2 linked regions of the Arabidopsis thaliana genome follow. The protein of the gene in region 1 interacts with the protein of each later gene in a pairwise test. Each region holds a gene or a part of one and is shown on either strand. Other genes may lie near its edges.

Evidence for each region.
Region 2: the proteins of LSH1 (region 1) and ARR6 interact in a two-hybrid assay, tested with the Arabidopsis thaliana proteins (one large-scale study listed by BioGRID).

What each region holds. Positions count from the first base shown.
Region 1 is NC_003076.8:10,453,132-10,458,081, reverse strand, and holds LSH1 (LIGHT-DEPENDENT SHORT HYPOCOTYLS-like protein (DUF640)), read left to right. Parts: upstream 1-2,400; 5' UTR 2,401-2,968; coding exon 2,969-3,541; 3' UTR 3,542-3,694; downstream 3,695-4,950. Other genes in the region: AT5G28491 (uncharacterized protein), read left to right, coding at 2,275-2,400. UniProt on the Arabidopsis thaliana protein: Probable transcription regulator that acts as a developmental regulator by promoting cell growth in response to continuous red (cR), far-red (cFR) and blue (cB) light in a phytochrome-dependent manner, at least during seedling development.
Region 2 is NC_003076.8:25,250,990-25,256,913, reverse strand, and holds ARR6 (response regulator 6), read left to right. Parts: upstream 1-2,595; 5' UTR 2,596-2,755; coding exon 2,756-2,906; intron 2,907-2,989; coding exon 2,990-3,066; intron 3,067-3,145; coding exon 3,146-3,223; intron 3,224-3,311; coding exon 3,312-3,382; intron 3,383-3,985; coding exon 3,986-4,169; 3' UTR 4,170-4,898; downstream 4,899-5,924. Other genes in the region: AT5G62930 (SGNH hydrolase-type esterase superfamily protein), read right to left, coding at 557-725, 842-1,006, 1,106-1,182, 1,274-1,414, 1,826-2,080; AT5G62910 (RING/U-box superfamily protein), read right to left, coding at 4,899-5,746, 5,853-5,919. UniProt on the Arabidopsis thaliana protein: Functions as a response regulator involved in His-to-Asp phosphorelay signal transduction system. Phosphorylation of the Asp residue in the receiver domain activates the ability of the protein to promote the transcription of target genes.

The sequences.
Region 1 (4,950 bases):
AATTTCGATCCCTTGTCTTTTTCTATCCGAATTATTGTTAAATTCTAATTTTAAATCTAAATTTATATATGTTACGCAAAATTCAACATTGACTTTGACAGTGTTAGTCAATCGTTAATCAAAGTTTGAGTTGAAAAAGACCGCCATCAAATAGTACAGATTGATTTTGGCCGTTTTTCCCGTTAACTAGTTCACTAACTATCCATTGAATTTGAATTGTAAATTCATCAAACTTAACAAATTATATTCAAACAAATTGGATTCTATGTAATCCCAATCAAATAATGCATTTTCTACATTGTCACTATGCTATTATCCTTCTATCTTTACTTTATATCAGTAGAAATATGTGCAAAAGATAGTTGTACCACTATCTTTCACCCATACATTCTTCAAACACATTTTTTTACCACAATATTCATCATGACTAAAGCGTCGAGATTCATCAAGAGAAAAACCTATTTTTATCCTTCTATGTGTTGTCTTGACCATGCTATGATCGCATTTTTTCTTCTAGAAGGCGATCAAACATCACAACGAGTTTTTTTTCGGTTTTTCACCTAGTAGACGAATCACTTATCCTACGTTTTATCGTTATTTCGAACACACCGGAAAAATCAACAGAAAATATAAGAAATAATCTAACTTGAACATATATATACCCAAAAAAGAAAAAATAAATATGAGAGAACAAATTCATAAATTTGATATAAATATATATATATATATATATATTATATTTAGAAACCTGACTAAACATGAATTTCATCCAAAATTTACTTTAAAATTTTCAATTATATAAACTGAAGAGATAAGAATTTCGAAAAAGTTTGAAATTCCCTAGCCCTCTTAAAATTTTGGAAACGTCAAACTGCTTTCGTAGTTAAAGATAAATTATCCAAGCTGCTTCTATCAAGAGGCAAGCCGGATTATACTTTATTCTTAGTGATCATAGTATGGAAAAAAAGAGATAAGGTTATACAAACATGTGTACAAAATGAGATCTTAGAAAAGAGGCAAACACTTGCGATCAAAAAAAATTGTAGACTAACGATTTGTCGCTGATAAAAACCAATAACGAAAGAGTTGGTTATAAAGATGCTAAATATTAATTATCCAACGCAAGAGTTTTTTAAAATTTTTAATAGCAATTGTTTGAAGATTTCAGTTAGTAATGTTCAAATAAATGGTTTTTATTAGACAAATGTATATGACTTGTGATAATATCGTCGTTCTGTTACCATTAAGGCATTACCTTACAATAGTTGTGATCCCTTTTTTAAAAATCCCAGCCTAATCCGATTAATCCCTGTTTAATTGCTAGGTCCACCCTTTCTACCTCGAATAATAACTAATCCTTTAAAAATCAGTTATTTTATTAATTTTTGCTTAATCCAATTTTTTTTGATTAATTTTCGCCTAATCTTGAATATCCTAATTACTTTTAGATTGCAAGTATAAAAAAAATTTCTTTTTTGCTAATTAATCATTTAGTTTGAAAATTTCTAATGTTTTACAACAACTTAAGTTCAAAATTTAAATAAAAAACAGAAATTTTGTCTTAAAAATATAGTTTTATGTATTTACTATAATTTTGAAAACAATATTGGATTAATAAGTTTTAAAACATTAAAATAAATCTAAAATAACCCGATTTTAATTCAATTTTTTTGACTAATCGCTAGACCTATACAGTTTTTTTTAACGAGGGTTGTGATGCATGTTTTTGACAAAAAGAGAATAGAGTTATTTAAAATTTATTCTTCGTGAAATATTTGTTTACTCTCGATGCTAAAAATAGTTTGGTGCTAAAAGTATAGTCGGAGTTATTGCCAAAATCAACACGATGTCTACATGCTGCTCAATTGGCAGCCTTTACCATTGAGACAAAGCCGTATACTTATAGTAAATAAAATCGTCTCTGAGAACGAATTTAATTTATGGGGCACGGACACTAACGCATCAATATATACTAAATACTGAACACATGTTAATTTATAAAACTTGAAAGCCTATAGTCAATAAAGAGGTTTTGTGATAATCCACCGTTTATCACAAGAAACGTTTGTGTTTAAAAGTAGTGTATTCCTAGTTATATAAACCCATGATTGCCGGAAAAAAGAGAAGATATTTATATGTTAATCAGGTCGTTTTCAAAGTAAAAATTAAAGTGAAGTAAGAAAACAAGAATAATGCAATCCCTTAACCACAAAAAATAAAAGAATAATGCGAAAAAGAAAGTAATCAATATTTATAATAAAAAAAAAATGAAAAATGTCGCTGCAAATTGCAGACAAAGAACACAGACTCTTCCCTCCTCATGTCATGTCAATGTTCAACTTCAAGTTCCCCACTTTAACCATTGGTCACACTCTCTTTTCTCTCTCTCTTCATCTATGAAGTTACTCTTTTCTACGATGTGTAAACACTTAGTCCTCTTCTCTTCTCTCTCTCCTCTCTTGGAGCTACTATACACTCTTGAGTCTTGACAAGTGTGTTTTTGTGTATTGTCTCTCTATCATCTCCCAAAGTAGAAAAGCTAGAAAACAATAAAAAGGAAAAAAAGATCTCTTCCACTTATATATCTCCCCTTCTATAATCTTCTATAAGCATCAAATAAACTTCACTTCTCTCTCTCTCTTTGCCTCACCATTTCTGCTCACAAGTGTTTGTTAGATTTGATCTGAAAAAGATGAATCTATACCTTTTATAGTATCAATCTCATCATCACAACCAGCTAAGTTTCTCTCTCTTTCTCACTTTTTCTCCATTTGCTGCAATTATTGATCTTAGCTCAAGATCTACAAAAAAAGAACCCTAATCTCTCTTTGATCCATATAAAATTAAAGAAGAAAAACAAAACCCTAAATCAAGATTCAATCTTCTTCAACTATCCTCTTCTCTCCGGCTAGACATCTGCTTTGGCTTCACCGGCTGCTTTTTCCAAAATCAAGAACAAGAAAAAGCCATGGATTTGATCTCTCACCAACCAAACAAGAACCCTAATTCCTCAACACAACTAACACCACCTTCCTCAAGCCGGTACGAGAACCAAAAACGCCGTGACTGGAACACTTTCTGTCAATACCTCCGGAACCACCGTCCTCCGCTCTCTCTCCCCTCGTGTAGCGGCGCACACGTGCTCGAGTTCCTCCGCTACCTTGACCAGTTCGGGAAAACAAAAGTTCACCACCAGAACTGTGCCTTCTTTGGCCTCCCTAACCCTCCTGCTCCTTGTCCTTGTCCTCTCCGGCAAGCTTGGGGCTCACTCGACGCTCTTATCGGCCGCCTCCGCGCCGCCTACGAGGAGAACGGTGGCCCACCTGAAGCTAACCCATTTGGCTCACGCGCCGTCAGGTTATTCCTCCGTGAAGTCAGAGACTTTCAAGCCAAAGCTCGAGGTGTTAGCTATGAGAAGAAGAGGAAGAGAGTCAACAGGCAGAAACCGCAAACGCAGCCGCCTCTACAGCTTCAGCAACAGCAACAGCAGCCACAACAAGGTCAGTCTATGATGGCTAATTACTCGGGTGCAACAGTATGATCATATTTATATAATTTCCCCTTTTCTATATGTATTGTCTCTTATTTGCTTTCTCTAAGATATTAATGTAAAACCTTCTTTTACATTATCTACTGATGCTTTTGTTTCTGTACTAGTTGTTTATGAATAAGAAAAACTACGATTATTTACGATAAAGTGTTTGATCCATTATGTTCTTGGAGTTTTCTTTTGTTTTCAATTTTAACATTTGAAAGATGATTCGATGATTATTCTTGATAGTTGATACACTTAGGGCTCGTGTGTATTATGTGACCATGCTTTATGATTTATTAGTGGAGGCATCTTTAAATATCACTTTGTTAGAATTTAGATCATATAATAATCATTTATTTCCATGCGATTATGGTTGAGGTTTTAGGAACATTTTGTAGATGATCAATGATTTGTATATGAATCAAATTATATTTTAAAGGTCAAAACTTATATGTACTTATGTATTAGTATGATCTTCTGTCTCTTGTATGATTACTTTATGATATATACTAATAAACACACCATCTCACAGATATGTTTTGACTATAAAAATTGTTTCTGTATGCTCTCTAAGTTAATTCCAGATAATTTTAATTGAAATTAGAATATATAGATTGGTCGTTGTTAGGTCTTGTAGTCCCAAAATTTGATGAGCGAAGTCATCTGACATCCTTTCTCATTAAATGCCTACTATTGTTTTGAATATGGATTCACTGTTTTGACTTTCTAGGTCGCTTTAGGATTGGACTATAGGAGCTAGCCACCTTATAAATTATTGATTCTATTTTATTTCAGTGCATTATTGATTGATGTATATAAGGATTTTGATCAATTAGGAAAAAGTCCTCCTTTTTAGTGGCATTTGTAGAATTTGTCAGTTTTGCTAAAATATTTCTGATTTGTCATTTGCTTATTTATAAAAACATAATTTTAAACATTTTGTTTGGGTTTATTTGGTTCCAATTGTTTTTAAGATATAGTATTTGTTTTTAAGTATGTATTTTATAAATTCTACAAAAAACAATACATGTATGTTATAAAAAATCCCATTATTATGGTTTTGAAGTGCTAAAAACTGGCAAATTCACAATGCCATTAAGCAAATGACATATCTAAACGAAGTTGAGGCAAAAAAGGCAAAATCTGTAATAATCCCAAGAATTTTTCTTACTACAATATATAAAAGAAAACTATGAGAAACTATGATTTACTGTTAAGATAAGTTCGGCATCAGAAAGTTTCGTAACCTATAGTTATGAGTCTTGGACAATATATGCAAAATTTTACTTTAATCAAGATTATAATAATGTTACGGATTCCACATTTTACTGTACAATTGTCATGAGTCATGGTCAAATGATATTTTACAATACAAACATAGGTTATAAAGATAAAATATCACCAAAACATCTATA
Region 2 (5,924 bases), about 15 Mb from region 1:
TATATAGCTCTATATTACAAAAACTATTGAATAACTTCAATTTTTCGACTCCAAAATCGTCGGATGAATGTAGATGCACGAGATATTGCAAATCTCGTTGGTACGGTCATATTTATTTATCATAACCAACTGGTTAGATTCTAATGAGATTGGGCAAGTTTGGTTAAGGCCCAATTGCTCACATTCCAAATTTAACTCTACTGGGCTCTTAATTTATCTGTATAAGGCCCTGTAATATTTTCTTGCCGTCATCAACTAGTTAGTAGTAGAGAAGCAATCAAATTATACGAGTATTTGACATTGAAAAGAAGATTAAAAAAAATCTTTCAGACTGAAATATATAGCAAGGAAGATAGAAAGCTAGTGCAGGTACATAAGTCAAAAGTCACAACATATAGTAAGTACATCATAAGTTCATTTCTCTTGAAAACGATCTCTAGTGATGATGCACTTTTTAGGTATTTATTCACATCCGAGAGTTTTCTAAATCACAACATTGAAACGTGTTCATGAATTTAAATCAAAACAAACCTGCTCATGAATTTGGGGATGATCGTTATAAGCAACGCTCTTCAAAAGCTTTCGATGGGTTTTTACCATCGATATGCGAATGATGGGGGAAATCAAACGGCATTTCTTCGGGAGAGAGCCAAGCTTCTCTAAAAACTCTCGAGACTTCATCAAAAACTACCCCATTGCCTTCAGGCGTGAGATGGAGCCCATCACTGCTTATAGCCAACAACAACGAGCAAGAACCATTTATAAACAACAAACATGATTGAGGAGGAGATGAGTGTTTGTGAAAAACCAACAACATTTCAGATCAGACTTAGATACAGACCTTAGGTACTTTTTCTGCCAATCATTGGTTTCCTGCATCTTAGACCATAAGTTGACACATCGCAGACCGAGTTCCTCGGCCAATGCAACACAATGTTGTGCATATACCCCTGTTGTTTCGTTTGTTCTCTCAGGCTCTTTCATAGCTTTCTCACCGTAGATTGATCTGATGTAACACAATCACTGGCTCATTTAAGAAACATGTCGGACTAAATGCTTTGAGAAACAAAAATGCAAAGAAGAAAAGGATCATAATAAAGCCTACTCTGCATAACTTTGACGTCCAGCTTCATCAATTGGTGGTGGAGTTATAAGCACAATTAGCATTGTAGGTGAACATTTCTACAAAACAGAGTCATTAGTCTTTAAAGGAATCACACTTCAAGAAAAGTAAGTCCATGCATTAGAGTGGATCAAAGAAGCATATCAAAACCTTCAAATGCTGAACAATCTTTCTGACATTATCTGTGTACTCTTCCACCGGCACATGTTGTCTATCACTGGTTCTTCCTTTGAGAGCTGCATCGTTTGCACCGAAGAATATCGTCGTAGCAACAGGAGGAGACGAAGAGCCCTAGGCAAAAAGACAGAGTAGAACACATACTGAGATAGGCACACCAAAACAACACGCACTACAAGAAGAGTTCTCATGATATATGCAGATGTAATTGCCTTTTACCATCTCAAAATTCAAATCTAAATCTTTCGTACTTCAACCAATCCATGACAATGTCATAAAACCAACACATCCTAGAATCATATCAAAACCATTCAGAACTGAACCATAACAAGCATAAGCAAAACAAAAAATGATGCACAAGAGACAATAACTCAAGATCTATATCCACACAGATCATACACACAATCACAACAGCTCATGAACAAAATCATCCCAATGACTACCAAAATTCGTTCGTGTTTAGATCAAATTTCAAATCAACATTTGTAGACTCGAGGGAGGGAGAGAGAGATAAAAAGTACTGACGAGAGGGAAGATGTGATGAAGCAAGAAGAGAGCCCATCGGGTGTTGTAGCCGCCGTAGCCTCGAACCACAACATCAGCCTTGCGAGAGTAAGCGTCGGCAAGAGCAGATCCCCAACCGCCGGACCTAAAAGACTGCGCCGTGATCGAGTCGCCGAACAGAACTATCTCCGGCCTCATCTCGCTGTCTCCCTCCGGTTCACTGAGTAAACCGTTAACTGTATTAGGAAACTTAAAGTCTCTTCTGGGCCAAATCATATGGGCCGGGCCTTTAGTATTAATTTGTTATATTTTTGGTGAATGAAAAGGTGGTAATCTAAAGAGGTTTTACTAATTGTAGATTAAGGATGCGTGTAATGTTTTAGTATTAGTTTATGATTTCTTGATTTCACATTTTTCTGTCTTGAGCTTAAGTCAAAACCTCAAAGTGAACTTCTACGTAGATGAAGTATTGAAGTGTAGAAGTTAAATGCGTGAACTTCCACAATTCAACTACAAACACACTTTTACCAAAAAAAACTACAAACACACACAAATAATTTAAAAATAAAAAAAGAATTCTACAAGTTATTGAATATCGGTTTGGGTCGGTTAAATCTTGCATCCCATTCCAAATTTTCTGGTTTGTTCTTCGTTTTGACTAAACTTGAACCGATTGGTTTGACTTTATTTCGGTTTTTTGTTTTAACTTATTTAATAATAAAAATCCACCGAACTATTATTTATATAAAATATAAAATAAAGATTTTGAAAGCAAATTGACAAAATCTTAAAGATATGCAAAATCTCTCGATTTCATTCATATTTTTTCCCTCTTTTATTTCTTTCTTTCTTTCTTTCTACTTATATAAATGGCCCAACCACTGCCACCATGGTTTCACATCATATCTTTCTCTTCCTTTTTCTTCCAAATCCTCCAACATTCGTTGATCAATGGCTGAAGTTATGCTACCGAGGAAGATGGAGATTCTCAACCATTCTTCAAAGTTTGGATCACCGGATCCTCTTCATGTTCTTGCCGTCGACGACAGTCACGTTGATCGTAAATTCATCGAGCGTTTGCTCAGAGTATCTTCTTGCAAAGGTAATTATTACTCATATTTTGAAAAATCAGTCTCTGAATTCGGGCAAGTTATCTGAGTAAAAAGCTCTGTTTTGGTTGTTCAGTTACTGTTGTTGATAGTGCAACAAGAGCTCTCCAATACCTTGGTTTGGATGTTGAGGAAAAATCAGTCGGTTTTGAGGTATAAAACAATTTCCAAGAGAAAACAAAATTTTGCCGTAGCTCTCAAGCAATATGTTAAATCGTGATTTGTGCTTCAGGATTTGAAGGTTAATTTAATTATGACTGATTACTCAATGCCCGGTATGACTGGATATGAACTCTTGAAGAAGATCAAAGTAAGCAAACAAACATATAATGATATAATTAGTCAATGGAATTTGAGTTTTATGTTTATCTAATCCTTTTTTACGTGATTTTCCACAGGAATCCTCAGCTTTTAGAGAAGTACCGGTGGTAATTATGTCCTCCGAGAACATTTTGCCTCGTATTGATAGGTATAAAACTTCATCATAATCTTAAGTCAAACTATAGTAAATTTGGTGAATATCTTTGTCTTAGATGATCAAAAAAAGAATTAGATAAAACAAAAAGGGATTAGATCACAAAGTAAAGTTCCTGCTCATATGGTTAAAAGTTAATTTCCTTAAACCATTTTTGGTGGTGGATATTGCATAATTAAACAAATGTTGAGATTTGGTGATCTTTAATGGGTCCCAAGATGATTTTGTGTATAAAGATGTTTCTAACCAGCAAAATCTTTACTTTGGGATTTGATTCTATTTCTGGTGATGTGATATTACAATAAAATAAGTACATGATCTTGCTTGCCTAATATTTGGTAGGGTATTGTGAAAGCCACCTCACATGCTTTTTCACTTTGCATACAATATTAGGAAACCTCTAGACCAAATAAAATAAAAAGGAATATGTATTTGTGTTACACACAATGGCCAACTCAATTACGAACTGGCCATTTTATGATTGTTTGCTACATATACAACAAAAAAAAAACTTATTGATCCAAAGCTATCATCAACTTTATTGAAATTGGAGTTTACTCAAACTGATTTTCTTGTGATTATTATTTTGTCATTCAGATGTCTTGAAGAAGGGGCTGAAGATTTCTTACTGAAGCCGGTAAAACTCTCGGATGTAAAAAGATTAAGAGATTCTCTAATGAAGGTTGAAGATTTGTCTTTCACAAAGAGTATTCAGAAGAGAGAGCTAGAAACAGAGAATGTCTACCCTGTTCACTCGCAGCTCAAACGCGCAAAGATCTGAGCTCTCCGATGCAAATTCCGTGACTGGATCTTAGAAAAAGCCTTTTCATATACAGAAGCTTCAAGACTCAATGCACTTGAGCCTACACTGATGATTCTCGCCAGCTTAATGACCTATACAATTTTCCAACCCCTATGGCCTTTTTCGCTGATTGAATTCAGTGGGTTTATTCATATAGTAGTAATGTAAATGGTATAGAGATGAGCAAAAGCTATATTATATATTATATTCATTAGAGGGGTCATAGCTTTTTTCCTTACAAGAGATTTGTAAGCTGGCTTAATAGAAGTTGTTAAGAAGCCTCACTTTATGTGAATAAATGATTTTGTTAGCTAATCATAAACAATCAGAAGTTTCCTAAAAGAATTTGAAGTAATGAGAGTTGATCTCTGGTGAATGGTGATTCTAAAAAACAAGCTTTGGTTCATGAGTAACTTGTCAAGAGGATTCACCATAGCAACAAAATAACTCTTAAACCTTCAATAATGTTTGACAAGGAATAAATGCAGACCAAACATATGGAATTAGAAAAGAGAACATAGCATTCATTATTGAAACTATCTAAATGTATTTGAATCATTTTCTGTACCACCTTTTATGTATTCACACATCACATTCTACATCATCACCACAGTGTTTCAGACTTAGAACCATAGATGACATAGAAAACAGAGCTTAAGTTCTCGAGTTCCAAAAGACAACATGGTTGAGAAAACCGCACCTCTCCTTTTAAAACTTGCAAAACATGCTAGACGAACGAGCCAACCGAATTGTTAGACCACCACCTTGAATACTAGTCTCAGCCTTGACCATATTCCGTTCATAGGGTTTCCTGCAGCCTGGACAACGCCCATCTCCATCGCAAATGGTCTTGTGGCAGAACAGACAGAGCCGAAATCCACAAGGACAGGGGAGGAAATTCGAATCCGTCAAGTCCAAGTCTTCGTAGCATATGGGACATGAAGACGGAATCGCCACAGAGCTAAAACGCTTGTCTAACTCCGGAAAACTAAGCTGCTTCGCCAAATTAGGTAACCCCTGTGGGCGAAGGTCATCATCTAGCCTCCAAGCTCTATTACTAGTCTGCTTCCTTGATGACACTCTCAAGCATTCCTGCTTTGGATCTTCAACACCCACAACATCTGATGCATCACTAATCGACGAATCACACACATTAGAAGCTGATTGTCCAACACTCACTTGCTCTTTCACAGACTCAAGAGGACGACTCTTTTTCTCAATCTCTTCCTCAGCCGCTAACGCATCAGCAACAGCTTCCCAATCATCCACACACCCATCATCATCATCGTCTACATTTTCCTCTTCTGTTATATTACCAGAGCAAAAGCCACTGCTGCTACTACTACTCCTGCTACTTCTCCCACTGAAGTTAGTGCTCGAATATGTACCACCAACAGAGCTATTTGAAGGTGACTCCATAAAACTCTCATGATGAAGAAGATTATTCCCACCATTGTTATCCTCTTCTCTACGCACCTTATCTGAACTCTCATGATGAGGCTTTTGACTACGATTAACACTCCTCTCCTCTTTAACTTCCTTATTGCTCACCGCAACTAATATCAAAATCAAAAACCCAAAATCAATACATAGACAACCAAATCTAACCAAACGAATCAGGCAGAATTGAAACATTAAAGGAGAGAAAGATGAAGTTTTAACCTTGAGAAAGCCATTGCTCACGACGGAGACCAAGCTTGTTCTGCTTCATCTTAGCCGACTTATTGTTCTGCA